4 linked regions of the Schizosaccharomyces pombe genome follow. The protein of the gene in region 2 binds, or shares a complex with, the protein of the main gene of each other region. Each region holds a gene or a part of one and is shown on either strand. Other genes may lie near its edges.

Region 1 (3,276 bases), on a different chromosome or scaffold from region 2:
GAAAGGGATTTTAAATTCCCTTAAACGTAAATGTTTTGTCCATGCAAAAAGTAGTGGAGATACACAATTTCGCATCTCTTAGCCTGGCAAGCAGACAAAAGTCGTCCCCAAAACGAGAGGCGTGGAAACGAAAAGACGCGTTATGAAGAAAAGAAACGATAATCAAATTAAAAGGATCACTATTAATGAGAGAAGGGGGTACTTGATAAAAAAAGAAAACGAGAACTCGATACGAGATGATGCATATACTTCCGTTCCCTTTCTATATGATGCGATAATTCAAACATTAAACTGTGCGAAAAGGCTCAATAATGCATCTAAACATTTCATCCAAGGTTTCCAAAAAACAGAAGGTGGTATAAATACAGCTAACTGAGCAAACCTTCCAACGTTGCGAAGTTGGGTTCTAAGCAAAACCTAAGATTGCTATTTCCTCATTAACAGGCAGCGTTAGTGAATTAACGGAAACCATCGCTATAGTTTATTTACGTTATTTTGTTATAATAGCTCGTTATTGTGTAAACATGGAAAGAACATTCATGAGTAAAAAAGAGGTCCCTTAATATAATTAAATGCAGAATATCCCTCTAAACTATTAAACTATCATTCATCGATCCTCTTAAGAATCGCTAATGAATAACGATCAATCGGCCATCATCATATATAGGAATGGCATTGAATGCAACCAGCATTTAGGCACGTTTGTTGACTCATTAGTATTTAATCAGCATTTACAATATCATCGAATACACTTTCGTCAAAGAACACAAGTGTAGTCTATTTACCTTACTTCTTCGTTATAAGCTACAGATTAACCTTACCTAGGTTATATAACACTCATCATCCAGAAGCGAATATCGTATTCTAGCATTGAGATTGCCAGCTAGCAGGTAAAATCAAATACGGAGTATAAATATGACTGCGTTATAAGTGAAGAAATGAAAATAACTGCTAAAAATGTATGAGCAGGCAAGAATTCAAGTAGTTGATGTCCATTCATAATAATACTGTACGATCAATGGCTTTAAATATTTGCAGCACTTCATTTTCACTTCAGAACATGCTAGGTGTAGCGGCATTTGCTGCGCTAATTTACTCAGTCAGTTTATGACAAAATCAAATTAGCAAATACGCATACAGCTTCACAAATACAGTACAGCCATTTAATTTGCTTTACGAAACATATAATTGATTTTGTCTAATTAATCTTAAAATTTTTTTGGAGTTTTTTGAACCATTGTTATTAATAATTCTAACGGCTGCCGGTAAATATTTAATGAAATCAGTGAAAATTAAAAGTATAAAAAAAAAAAAGTTTATTCCATAACAAAAAATTTTTAAGTATTAAAAAATTTTTAAGCAGTTTAACTTGCTTTCCTATGGCGTTAACGATTGATAAAAAAATATAAAAAAATAAAGGCAATAAACTCTATATACCTTTAGCAATTATAAAAAAAATATCTAAAAAATAATAGGGACTTTCAATCCATAAAATTAATTTAGATGAACAATCGCTTAGTTTAAATTCCGAATTTACAAACAAGCCATATCTTAGCAAAAAAAAGGCAATAGATGTGTTTAAATTTATAAATAACTATTTCATTAATAGTGTTCGTATCCTTGTGTGTTCTGAAATAAATATTCATAATATCTTACCATTAGGTTATACTCAGTAGCTACTAAGATGAGGCACACTAGTACCGTCAGCTAACACTAGCTTGGCCAGCCCAATTCCTCTTGGAAGCCATTTTCACCAAAAAAGTTGGTTTCTTGCGCTTATAATTCACTTTTTTAGCAGACTATCCATATAAGCGATTGTTTATTACCTCAAGTCATACTCTCCATTATTTATAGCGCCGTGGATGTGTTTTGCATAATTAACCCATCTCAATCATTATTCAATCCTTACTTCCATTTTCACGTTTCTATTACTGATTATTTTACTAATATACTATTTAATAACTTTTTCAGGAGGAAGATCCAATGCCGAAATTTAATGCAAATGGTTTGCTACGCAGCTTTGCAGCTGAAATGAAAAAGCCATGGACAGCAGAGTCTTTATGGTACGAAACGGTTGCTAAACATCCCCCAACCTTTCAATATGCTAGACGTATTGTACCATTGTACGATCCAAATAAGGTAAAATCCCGTGGTAAACGGTTACGAAAATCAATGTATCAGCCTCAGGAAATTCAATGGCCAGAAGATAAACTCCGTAAAAGGTTTTATCGAGATCATCCTTGGGAACTAGCAAGGCCTCAAATCATTGCAGAAAATGACGGTAATGATCAGCAATATTGTGATTGGAGTCACATGGATCAACCGCGCAAAGCATTATCTGGCGAGAGTGTAGTGCAAAGAACTTTATGGCTGATTGAAAACTCTAACATGCCTGTAGAAAATGCTTATGATCAAGCAAGAAAGGAATTTTATCACCTACGCGCTGAACAAGAAATTCAGCAACGCGTTGCCCATGATCAGGCTCAAGCATTGGGTGCTGTATTTACAAAATCTGATCTGGAGTTGGGCTATGAAATGGATCAAAATGCTTTAAATTCTTGGTTTGATAATGCTTCACAATACGCTGAGGCTAATCGTACAAAGTTCACAGACCCGAGTGTAGATATCTCTAAGACGACTCAGTAGTATTTAAATTCACAGCTGATATATCATATTGTCTCCTCAAAAATTGATTTTTGTTTTGTTTTTTTTTTTTTCAGAATTTTCTTAGTACTATCCCCTTTCAAAAATAAAACAGATATTTTTCATCTCTTTATGTCTTCAAATTAAAACAATCTATCAGAACACATTAAATTTCTACCATCTATTTGAATACATATATATATATTATAAATATTATTCAAAGCTATAGCAAGCTTTTCAGATGACACTGCCGTTTAGCCAGCTAGCGAACTTTCGCTCCAAACTTTTAAAAGTGCTTTAAAAAAAGTTCATCATTTATTGAGCAGCCAACATAGATAAGAAGATGATAGCGTCTATACCCATAACACTTTTTGTCAGGAAAGGAAAAATTTTTCTAATATTAAACGATTGCCAGTAATTGATTTTAGTCATGAATCACGAAATGCCACTTTTTTTCCCAAACAAAAAGTTAAGATACATATCAAAAAAACCAAACTCATGCCTCAACAGGATTGGTCACCATCTCACCTATGTAGACTCTAAAAATTACCATCATTTACCTTCCTTTCTTAGGTCGAGGTTTTATTTCGTCTTGCGGAACAGGGTGGAGCATGATTTTATTGGGCAATTGCG
Region 2 (3,387 bases):
TTCGCTTATCTTAGATACTTGTGAGGCACAGACTGTCAAAATTTGTTGAAAAGAAGCTGAAACAGTAATTTGCGCGTATGAAAACGTAAGTATTTATGTTTAACACCTAATATAATCGGCATCGTTGGAAATTCATCTTCGTAAAATTCGGTCAATTACCATCGAACTTCGACGTTGTCCTTTTGAAGCAACATTTAAAGGCCTATACCTCGCCAAACTCCTTTTTCATGTCATCTGTCAGTCTGCCATGAATTTCTCAAAAACATTACTAAAAAATTCAAAAGACGGGATTTCAAGTGTAATATTTTCACCCTCTGTCAAAAACGAACTAATTGCAGGGTGCTGGGATGGTAGCTTACTGCATTATCAAATCTCGGAAAATCCCGAACTTTTAGGGAAATACGATTTATCAAGTCCTATTCTTTCTTTAGAATATACAGATGAAAAAACTGCTTTAGTAGGAAATTTAGATGGGACAGTTACTACCCTCGATCTTAATACGCGAAACCATGAGTTTTTAGGAAACCACGGTAAGGGGGTATCGTGCATTTCTAAGTTGCGTTTGGAAAGTAAGATATATATTTTATTAGCCAGCTATTCTATTAACATTTTAGACTGTTTCATTAGTGGGTCTTGGGACAAATCATTTCGTGTTTGGGATGTTCGCGTAAAGCAACCTGTCGAGGGACAGGATATAGGAAAAAAAATTTTTGCAAGTAGCTCGAGAGATAATATATTGGTTCTAGGCTGTTCAGAAAGAGAAAATTTGGTGTACGATATTCGAAATTTAAAACTTCCATTTCAGCGACGTCCTTCTAGTTTTAAGTATATGACTCGAAGTGTTTGCTGTAACCAAAATTTTGAGGGATTCGTTTCTTCCAGCATTGAGGGAAGGACATCTGTTGAATATATTAACCCGTCTCAGGAAGCGCAAAGCAAAAATTTTACCTTTAAATGCCATCGGCAGATACAAAAGGACTACGATATTGTTTATCCAGTTAACGACCTAAAATTTCATCCGATTCATCAAACATTGGCAACTGCTGGGGGAGATGGCGTTGTTGCGTTTTGGGATATACAAGTCCGAAAACGATTAAGAGTGTTAAATCCTTCAAAGATCAATATATCATCTATTTCTTTTAATGTTGACGGAAGCATGCTTGCAATTGCCACTTGTGCTCAAGAAGAAGCCGCTGGTAATATCTATGTTCATGCTTTGGAATCCAACTTTGCAGCTCCAAAGTTAAAGTCATGAAATCGCTCATCAAAAAGCTTCATCCATGTAAAATCTTATGCAGATTCTTTTACTGCATACATATGAAATTTATATTATTTGAAGCACTCCTATTTAATGTTGTAAATGTTCAATATTTCCTCAGTGCTTCAAAGTGATAATTACGGTATTTATTATTTTTTATTCCACTATATATATTAAGTTAATAAGCAATTAATATAAACGCAAGACCATATTTATATAAAGAACGGGTTACGATTAAAAATACTTAATATAAAAACAATGTGACACTATTTGGTAGAAATTATCTAATTTACTTTGTTTCTCTTATTCACATTGTTTATAGTTATTAAAATAACTATAATTATACAGATCGCTAGCGCAGTTCGTAATTTATTTTGACTATTTCATCTACTGAGAATACACTCACAATTTGAACACAACAGAGAAGCCTTCTAAACCAGAAATAAAAAATATGAGGGCTTTGGGCCACCTGAAGCATAAAGCATTTCGTGATTTATTATGTAGGAGACTTTTTGCTGAACACGAAGTTGAACGTCAAAGCAATCTCTATATATATAGAAATCCTGAGCTACCTCTTCGGGTGCGTTTAGAAGCCAAAAAGCGGATTGAGGCTTTACCGACTAATGCACATCCTACAAAAATAAAAAATCGCTGTATTGAGACAGGTAGAGGCCGAGGTGTATTTCGTGCGTTTGGACTTGCAAGGGTACGATTATAATGTCATATAAATGCATTTTTGATGCTGACTATTTCAGTTTCCTTTTCGACTTAAAGCACTAGCTAATAAATTACCCGGAGTTCGGTAAGAATAAGCATTTTTACTTTTGTCACTAATCCATTCAGCAAGGCATCATGGTAATAATCGTTGTTTGTATTTCAATCCATGATAAGCGTTATTGAAATAAAAAGCTTTAATTATCTTCCGTGAATCCATCATGTTTATTATTAGCTAATATTTATTCGCCGTTTAAATGAAGTACAATTATTTGCATGATTACATTCCAAAACTGAATATTTACATTATCAATTGTTTATGATTGCCAATAGTTAGGTTCAGGTTCTGTGAGCGGCCTATCCATTATACTTTTAGTAGATATAGAACTGGTATTGTTGTTCTCTGTATCTTCATCAGGTGTACTATTTTTTTCGTTGTCTTCCTCTTGAGAAGTATCATCCGTTTCTTCATCTTCACTTTCACTGGTTGATGTTTCATATTCTCCTTCAGAACTTTCAGAAGTTTCACTAGCATAAAATTCTTCAAGCGTTTGCTGGCCAACAAATTTTGGACGGTTAATTGCGTTAGTATCTCCAAAATCACGTTTAAAGTTATCAGAAGATAATGCTTTCACACCCGGTGAATTGTTTGAATAAATATTTCCCGTATGAGGGTTTATTGGCAAAACATCCTTGATACCTTCTCGGACAGAATCAGGCGGTAAATCAGAGACATCAGCCCAGTTAGGGATTGGCTCATATCCCATCACGTCTTCATTCAAACATAAACTAGCGGTACCAATGCAGTAGTCCCGAGAAGCAATAATTTCTTTTTGACTATTCCCCTTGCTTTCCAATACGATGCGCCTAGTAAATTCAGAACTCGGTGTACTAGCTAGTTCTTTGTAAAACCTAGCTCTATCTCGTAAATCGTAACTCATGTCAAAGTGTATCAAAGATAAAACATAATTAAAAAGTAGTGACACGACATCATCTCTTGACTCTAAATCGTTTTGCTTCTCTTCAGAATGAGACAAAACATATAGTCTTACCGATAATTCGAGAATTTGATACTTCACTTCTAATGTCTCATCAGCAAAAGTTTTAACAGCAATGCGTAGCACATCAGGGACTAGTCGCGGTATGATTAGTATATGCTCCGAAATAAGCCATAGTGTAACGGATTTGGCCCGCGGTACTTCCAAAGTTTCATACGTTGCAGCTAAATACTGCAGATATATTTCTTTAGGATCATTATGAATGAGAAGCCGAAGTGAAGAGGCAGCTTCTGTCACGATAAGGCTATTATGTGATTTAAGTAACAGCAATAAAGTGTTAAGACAAGAGGGGGCCATAGAAATGTTAGCACTAGCAAAATCACCCAATGCCTTTACCGCCGTTGATGCAACAGAAGG
Region 3 (4,278 bases), on a different chromosome or scaffold from region 2:
GAAGGAACAGGCTTCTTTAACTCTAAAGGATTTAAGTCAATTTTTCGATAAATGTTTTCTGTTCTAGCTATCTTGGCAGCGTTTACAATATTTTCCATTAGCATAGCAACAGTCATCGGTCCGACGCCTCCAGGGACAGGAGTAATGCTGCTAGCAACTTTGGATGCAGATTCGAAATGCACATCGCCAACCAAAACGCGTTTTCCATTTCTTTGAACAGCGTTTATGCCAACATCTACCACAACAGATCCTGGTTTCAACCATTCACCACGAACAAATTCGGGTTTGCCTAATGCTGCTATAACCAAATCAGCATTAGAAATGTGCTGAATTAAATCTTTAGTTTTAGAATGACAGACAGTTACTGTAGCATTGTCCTTTCTCAACAAGTAGCTAATTGGATTTCCGACAATGTCACTTCTTCCCAGAACTACAGCGTTCAATCCAGCGACTGAAATCTTGTTATCTTTTAATAACTCCATAATACCTTTCGGGGTACAGGGATAATGAATGGGGGTAGCATCATTCTTTGCCAATAAACCAATGTTAAATGCACCAAATCCATCAACGTCTTTCGGCGGAGTGATAGATTCAGTAACTGTACGCTCATTGAGATGCTTGGGAAGAGGAAGTTGGACAAGGACACCGTGAACCGTATGATCGTCATTCAATTTTTTTAATTCATGAAGCAAGGCAGGCATTTGGATTGTTTCAGGAAACGGGCAGTATTTAAAATCAATACCAACTAATCGTGCCGCCTTTTCTTTCATTCGAACGTACACGTTAGAATCCTCACGTTTTCCAACCTGTACAATGGCAAGCGCCGGCTTAAAGTTTCGATCCTTAGCTTTCAAGGCCTGCACTTCTTCAGCAACAGAACGTTGTAATTTTCTAATTAGTCGCTACATTAGTAACCTCAAAGAGAAATAAAAATATAAAGTTTTAAGAGCAAAAAAATCTGATGAAACCTCAAACGTGCTGCAATGCCCAATACAATTTTTTAACTTCTAAGTATCGACAAAAAAATTGAAGAATATACGGAATTAAGCAATGTACGCAAATCAATTTTCAAACCACCAAAATTTTATCGTCAAAGACAAACACAGAAATGCACGCTCATCTGCATAGAGAAAATTTAGAATATAAACTTTATCTTACCTTGCCAATAATTTTCCATTTAGGATATTCGCAGAACTTGAAGTACCATACGACTGAAAAAGCCATTTCGATGGCCGTAAGCTGTTGCTTTCTAGAAAATAGTTTCGTAATTGATTAAACGAAACCATTACGTTCATAGAAAGACACCCAGAAGTGGTAGGGTAGTAAGGGAACCTGCCTGTCCTCTGGTGGTGTGTTAAAGCAAAATTTTTATTGGTAGTCAGGTAATCTATGTTGAATAATACGCTTACAGTAGAATATGAACCGAAACATTTTAATAGCGATTGTATTAAAGCAATGTATTCATTCTCGTATAATTTATTCTTCAAGCTCGAATAGTGACTGGAACAATTGCATTATTGCAAATCATAATGTATTGAACAAGTAATAATATACCTAAGCCTTTGAGATAGCTAATAAGCACACAAATAGTCAAAGAAAAAGTTTAAAAATCTGTTACATGATATACAGAATCTCAAGATCAAATATAATAGACAAATATAAACAACAAACGATCTGACAAGCAACTCATTAATTATCAGTAAATAAACTTAGACTAGAAAAATCATATAGTTTAGTTTAGTAGAGATAAACTCATTAATGAACAAGGAAGAACACACAAATTTACCGAAAGTTAACCTTTATAAGTTTCACTTTTCTTATGATAGCCATACCTTTAGTATTACTAATTTATAATTATAAAAAAAATTCCCGTTAAATTTAATAAGTACAAGCTAAAATCGTACTCAGTCATGGTTTACTCGAGTGTAAACAATTAAAGCACTCTGTTTCTCTATCCAACAGTGTGCGAGTCAAGTAACATTGCTACTTGAGGAGAGTGAACGTTTACTACACAACATGCCGACATGACCTCCTAACGAAAGCGATTCTATAACTTCAAACTAGCTATTGTAACATTGGCCATAATTTTGTATATTAATAGAGAGAATTTCATCTCGTATATACTTTTCATGAGTGTGCACACTTGATGTAAAACACTTCGCAAGCTGGATTGCACGACAAAAGTATATAAATAGCTGGCATCAAAAAATTACAGTCGTATTCGTGTGTTTTCTGAGTGATTGCTATTGATATTGACAATATTGACTCATTAGAAGTACCCACTTTCGTTCAGCAGTTACTTTTCGGTGGTGGTTTACATTGGGCAGAATTTGGATGTTTCTGACAAAGTATATCTTTAATCAAAATTATAATGAAGTTTCCTGATTTGTTGAGATGCTCCCGAGCAGTTAGTTTAGCAAGACCAGACTTGCCGAGGAACTCCCCTGATGTCTATGATACGAAGATTCCCATCCTACAAGCAATTACTGCGAAGAAATGCCAAAGATTTCGCGGCGATTGGGGAGCTAAGAGGAAGTTACCGATCCTAAAAAACCGTCATATTTCCATACAAAAGTTTGACACATTCGAGCATCAGTGTGCCTTCATCAGCAGTGACAGATTCGTACGCACCTTGAAACGAATTTACGACCTTAAGCTCCCTGTTCCGCTTAATGATTATGAACAAATTTCCCCTTACCTTTTACAGAAATACAACACTTTCTCAAGCTCAAATCCTAAATCCAGACCTACACTTCCACCAGGTATATTATACGCCAAATTGAAACTTTTAGATTCTTTTTCTGATTCTGAAAAGAAGCGCCTAAGTTTAGTATCCTTTATTCAAACTAAAAAAGTCCCGTTACCATTTACTTACGGAAAATTTGCACCCGACTCTAAAGAATGTTTATTTGGTGTCTCAGGAGTTATAGCTGCTACTTCTCTCAAAGGAATTACTTCAACAAAAAATCGATACGTAATTCGATCTCTTAATGTCGATGAAACCGGTAAAACCATTCCAAATATCACACGAGAAAATAGGAGTATTTAATACCATAATACAAGTTGACATTGACAATAAAAAACAGTAAAACGATTATTTCTCCCGTGAGTCACTTCGGTTTTCTTAAAACAATAGCTTTTCTTTCAAGGAATTGTTTCTTAATATTGTTTTCGTCTGTTGATAATCGTCTATTATGAAGATCCATCCATATTTAACATTTATTTCATCTGCTTACGATCCTGAGTTTTTGAGTTAGGGAAATTAATTGCACGGACTACTTTCTCCTTGAGCTATCATGATATGCCTTTAAGATCATTAAATATTTTTAACCGTTATTTTGCATTGTAGTGAACCGCTTTTTTCTCCCTCTTTTTGTTCATGGAGAGATTCTATACACCTATTACTTTTTCTAGGAAATAATATTGTCAACAAGCTTGTTTATTATTCCCACCATTCTTGTTTAAAAAAGATTGAATTTTTATTGTTTGTTTTTTGAGTGATTTTAACTTATTTTGGTTCTTGTAATTTTCGTTATGGCCGTATCGCATTACTGGAAACCTACGATGTTCCTAAGGGTGTCCGTTTATATTGAACTCTGTTTGGTTTATATTATGTACGCACGTGCTAAAAAATTTGCATAAATAAATTAATAAGCTTATATCAATCAACGCTTCCCGACAGTGTATTAAATTGTAAATCCGATAAACTTTGTAAACGTCTTTTGAATTTGCTTCTTAATTACCCAGTTACTCTAGTACCTACTAAGAGATAAAATCGTGTTTTATTAGCAATCATTATTTTTCTTTTCTTCGTACAATCTTTTATTCAAGCATTTTACTGTAACTCGTTATTTTGCTTTGTACAATAACACTCAGTATTATACCACAATACATTTTGAATGTTAACACGTACATAGCATGTTGTTATAATGTCGAGTAGTTCAAGTCATTTTTCGGTAATTTAACTTTCATAAAATTCGGAATTACTAACTTAAACAAAAGTCTACCGCTGCTGATTTGCTAGCAGTCTTCAGCTCAGATAATAAGGACAAATCTGCAAACAAACGAATTTCTGCTTTAAAGAAAGCAATTGCAGGCATATCTTATGGATATGATATGAGTTCACTGTTTCCATCGGTGATATCTTCTATGGAATCTAATAATCTAGAATTAAAAAAACTATGCTATTTGTACTTGAAAATTTACGCGAGGTTTGTAAAAGTTTCTTTATTTTTTACTAATTGACAGCGTGAAACCCACAGAGGCGAAGAGAGCTGT
Region 4 (3,698 bases), 2.3 Mb from region 2:
ACGGTAGTATCAAGCTCTGGGAAGTATGTACTCTCAATTAATGGTTATATTACGATAGTTGAACTTAACTTCACTATTGTTGCTAGTTGCCAGCGCTCGCTATCTGTATTTAGAATTAGAAGGTGAATTGAATTGAGAAATATAATCAATATAACAAAATTACAAGTATACGTTTGGTTTTATTTCTTCAAAGTTATTTTGGTATGAAAAAGTGAGATGCTGACAGATTTCAAGTCAAGAACTCTATATTTTTTAAAACCACTTCAACGAATTTTAGGATCTTGAAAAGTACATCATTTTTACTAATTATAGGAGGGTATTTTCAAAGGATATATTGTATGTAGCATCTAAATAATTTTTATGAAGGTCTCAAAGGGTTGACAACGGTTGTTTTTGGAAATACATTACATTGACCATAAACTGAAACGATGTATTTTACAAAAGGCAATTCAATTTTACAAACTTTCAGCTAAATATAAATTATGCCAGGATTCTCGTTCATTTGACTAGAATGTGTGCTTGTGATATTTGTTCTCGCATTGGTAAGTGCCCCGAAACCTCTTTGTAAGTGGCACCGTACCACAAATTGCATACATACAATCTATTATATCAGATATACAGTTTTATCTTGGGTGGTAGATAATAGATATATAATTTCCAATTCATATTTATATTGTTTTACCGGTTGATTGAAATTTGCCAACCAATTTAATAAAAAGCGTTTGTCAAGATGCCAATAGATACACCGTTGATACCCCATAAACCTATTTCAAGATATCGCTCTGGTAGATTGGAAGGGCTGGAAAGTGAGTCTTCTTCTGAAAGTGATTATGAAGAAGTTTCCGATTCACATGATCAAGAAAACTCGATTTCTTCATCAAGACATGTTATTACTCCAGTATTCGAGAAAGAAGGAATATCTGAAACCAAAACGTCTTCTAATTTCCAAAACATTAACCCAGTCCAAACAATTGATAACTCTGCTTCAGAATATGAGACTGACGCATCATCGGCAGAAGGGGGATCTAACTCTGCAGCATCTAGTTCTGAAGAAGAAGACTCTTCTGATTCGGAATATGAGATGGAGCTGAGAAGGCGGACACTTCTTCTTCCGCCAAAATTTACTAGTAAAGTCATCAAAAATCGGGCAAAAGCCAATGAAGAAGATACTGAGGTGCTTAAAAAAGTGACTTCACAAAAAATATTAGAAGAGACTATAAAACGGGAATTACTATTGAAAGAAACTAAAAACAATAATGAATTATTAAATGATATCGATGATACCGATGGAATTGATCCGCAAAGTGAATATGAATTATGGAAATTAAGGCATTTGCTTAGGAAAAAGAGAGACAAGGAAAAGTCACTGGAATTAGAAAGGGAAAAGATGGCAATTGAAGAAAGAAGATTAATGAATTCTGAGGAACGCGAAGCCCAAGATTTGAAGGACGCTGAAGCAAGTCGGAGAGGAAAGAAAAAGTCATCTATGCAGTTCTTACAAAAGTACTATCATAAGGGTGCATTCTATCAAAACGAAGATATTGTGAGTAAAAGAGATTATTCAGAAGCCACAGAAGGGGAAGTTCTTAATAAAGATTTATTACCCAAACCTATGCAAATTAGGGGAGATCTTTTTGCGAAGGCAGGCCAAACACGCTGGACGCATTTGGCAAATGAAGATACTACAAAAGAAGGATCTGCTTGGTATGATCCTAAAAACCCAATCTTGCAAAAAAATTTGCATCGTCTCGGTGGACTTCATTCTGACAGCCCACTCTCGAAGCGAAAACGTACCTAACATCTGTATATACATAAGGACAATTTTGTATTTCATTTAGCATTAATTTTATTTAACATCACATATATATTTAAATACAACATTCTTCTGAATTAATATCAAATGTGCACCACCCTTCCTCTTTGTAAGTGTTTAGCATAAGCATACCAATTCTTACCTTCCCGCAGTGCAAAGAGTACAACACATTTTTCGCCTTGGTCACCCATGTTACGAAGAGGTGCGCTTTCCACAATATTAAAAGGTTTAAACGGCCTTTCACTGCGTAGTCCCATACCGATTTGGCATGTTTCAGCTTCTCCCGAAGTTGGGTCGAAATATAACCTACCAACGGTTCCTACAACTTCACACGTTTCATATCGTCGTAAGTAAATTAAATACTTCTATTTCTAACTTCATTGCGTAGAAATCGCAAAAGCAAATTTCTTTGCTGGATATCGACCTTTGTCAGCTAATCAAATATGTGTGCCTAAAGTTGAGTCCAAAACACAAGTTTCGCAATCGCAGGATGAGGAAGATCAACCCCAGGAATATGTGTTATCTTTAGAGGATGGCTATTTGTATGCTCAATCATTCTCTGCATCTGGATCCGTAACTCAAACTCAACCCGCTCGTATATCTACTCAAGTATGGGAACAAATATGTGATAAGCTGATTTCTATTACACCTTTAGATTTGACCAGTGTCAAACGAAAAAGAAAATTGAAAATGAATAAACATAAGTTCAAAAAGCGCTTACGCCGACAACGAGCACTTAGGAAACGTCTAGGAAAATGAGATTATTAGAACTTATTTTTACTCGGGTTATATTTTTAGGTTGGTTGGATTGAGAGTTTAAGCTGTAAACAAGCATTTTCAAAATGGCTGCAAGCATTTATGAGTCTCTATTTTTAACTTGGATATCAGTACCTCTCTTTTCTTAAGAAACGTTTAATCATTTAATGTTTACTTCAGGCTTTTTTAACAAGGAATACATTTTCTCTCATGTATATTCTATCCTTTAATGTTCCGGTATGAGACAATTAGGTCGGTGCTTTTTTCTTGCGATAAAATCATTAAACAATCCGCGTTTATTTAACTATTTTCAAAAAGCGGAGCACTTATTTGTTTATGCCGGCTATCTCCTTCATATCAATTAGCTTCCCATGTCTAGTACTATTACAATACCTCCATCTTTGGCCCTTCCTTTTTATATTTTTAAATATTTGTCGATGGCTAGAATTAATGACATGTACACTTCATGTGAATCATAAATATGTTGTTGTATATCAAGCAATTAATAAACGCTTATTACACTGTATCTGTTTACACATAGAATAAAAGAACACATTGGTATGAAAAATAACTTTAGTAGTCGAAATTATTTCCTTAAAACAATTTTGAAAAAAAAAAAAAAAATTTCTACATTTCTTTCTTTAAAAAATGTTCTCACTGATTATAGCTAATTACAATAATGAAATGTAACGTACTGACGACTGACATAACAAATAACAACATAAGGAATATTGAAGAGCGTCCAACTGTATAATTTTTAAGGCTTTTGTTAATCTTGTCTTAACCGATCAAGTTATGCCAACATGCTTTCTAGAGAAGAGCAAAACCGGTGTTTCGTTCCTGTCCGACGAATTTTAGACAATGAAGACTTAAAATTATTTAAAGAAGGAGATGCTTATAAGTTAATTGATTCGTTTATTTGTGATCTTGACGAAGCTGTGAAAGACAAGCCTATTTCAGCTTCAATTCCGCAAAGCTCATCAATAGAGCATGTATTAAATATACTAGATCGAGTTGGAGAAATTAAACAGGAAAATCCTGCAATTGATAATATGGGGTCGAGGTTTGGCAATCCTGCATTTCAATCATTTTACGATCAGGTATACATTGAAACACCAAAGTTGCACCA

What was found.
Region 1: mrp2 (region 2) and rsm25 share a complex: the UniProt entries of both Schizosaccharomyces pombe proteins name them as parts of the mitochondrial small ribosomal subunit.
Region 3: mrp2 (region 2) and mug178 share a complex: the UniProt entries of both Schizosaccharomyces pombe proteins name them as parts of the mitochondrial small ribosomal subunit.
Region 4: mrp2 (region 2) and cox24 share a complex: the UniProt entries of both Schizosaccharomyces pombe proteins name them as parts of the mitochondrial small ribosomal subunit.

Annotation. Positions count from the first base shown.
Region 1 is NC_003423.3:4,290,396-4,293,671, reverse strand, and holds rsm25 (mitochondrial 37S ribosomal protein mS23), read left to right. Parts: upstream 1-1,709; 5' UTR 1,710-1,983; coding exon 1,984-2,646; 3' UTR 2,647-2,776; downstream 2,777-3,276. Other genes in the region: PPR repeat-containing protein Ppr7, read right to left, coding at 1-75; nucleoporin Rae1, read right to left, coding at 3,200-3,276. UniProt on the Schizosaccharomyces pombe protein: Component of the mitochondrial ribosome (mitoribosome), a dedicated translation machinery responsible for the synthesis of mitochondrial genome-encoded proteins, including at least some of the essential transmembrane subunits of the mitochondrial respiratory chain.
Region 2 is NC_003424.3:2,504,167-2,507,553, reverse strand, and holds mrp2 (mitochondrial 37S ribosomal protein uS14m), read left to right. Parts: upstream 1-1,669; 5' UTR 1,670-1,709; coding exon 1,710-1,964; exon of another isoform or gene 1,965-2,013; coding exon 2,014-2,060; exon of another isoform or gene 2,061-2,101; coding exon 2,102-2,117; 3' UTR 2,118-2,289; downstream 2,290-3,387. Other genes in the region: mitotic spindle checkpoint WD repeat protein Bub3, read left to right, coding at 248-569, 615-1,255; AP-3 adaptor complex subunit Apl6, read right to left, coding at 2,290-3,387. UniProt on the Schizosaccharomyces pombe protein: Component of the mitochondrial ribosome (mitoribosome), a dedicated translation machinery responsible for the synthesis of mitochondrial genome-encoded proteins, including at least some of the essential transmembrane subunits of the mitochondrial respiratory chain.
Region 3 is NC_003423.3:3,445,984-3,450,261, reverse strand, and holds mug178 (mitochondrial 37S ribosomal protein bS1m), read left to right. Parts: upstream 1-2,037; 5' UTR 2,038-2,371; coding exon 2,372-3,049; 3' UTR 3,050-3,746; downstream 3,747-4,278. Other genes in the region: ade9 (trifunctional formate-tetrahydrofolate ligase/methenyltetrahydrofolate cyclohydrolase/methylenetetrahydrofolate dehydrogenase), read right to left, coding at 1-891, 1,159-1,295; AP-2 adaptor complex subunit Apl1, read left to right, coding at 3,930-3,956, 4,003-4,211, 4,249-4,278. UniProt on the Schizosaccharomyces pombe protein: Component of the mitochondrial ribosome (mitoribosome), a dedicated translation machinery responsible for the synthesis of mitochondrial genome-encoded proteins, including at least some of the essential transmembrane subunits of the mitochondrial respiratory chain.
Region 4 is NC_003424.3:4,761,077-4,764,774, forward strand, and holds cox24 (mitochondrial 37S ribosomal protein mS38 ), read left to right. Parts: upstream 1-1,966; 5' UTR 1,967-2,002; coding exon 2,003-2,159; exon of another isoform or gene 2,160-2,201; coding exon 2,202-2,572; 3' UTR 2,573-3,146; downstream 3,147-3,698. Other genes in the region: splicing-associated factor Saf3, read left to right, coding at 731-1,798; ypa2 (serine/threonine-protein phosphatase 2A activator 2), read left to right, coding at 3,373-3,698. UniProt on the Schizosaccharomyces pombe protein: Component of the mitochondrial ribosome (mitoribosome), a dedicated translation machinery responsible for the synthesis of mitochondrial genome-encoded proteins, including at least some of the essential transmembrane subunits of the mitochondrial respiratory chain.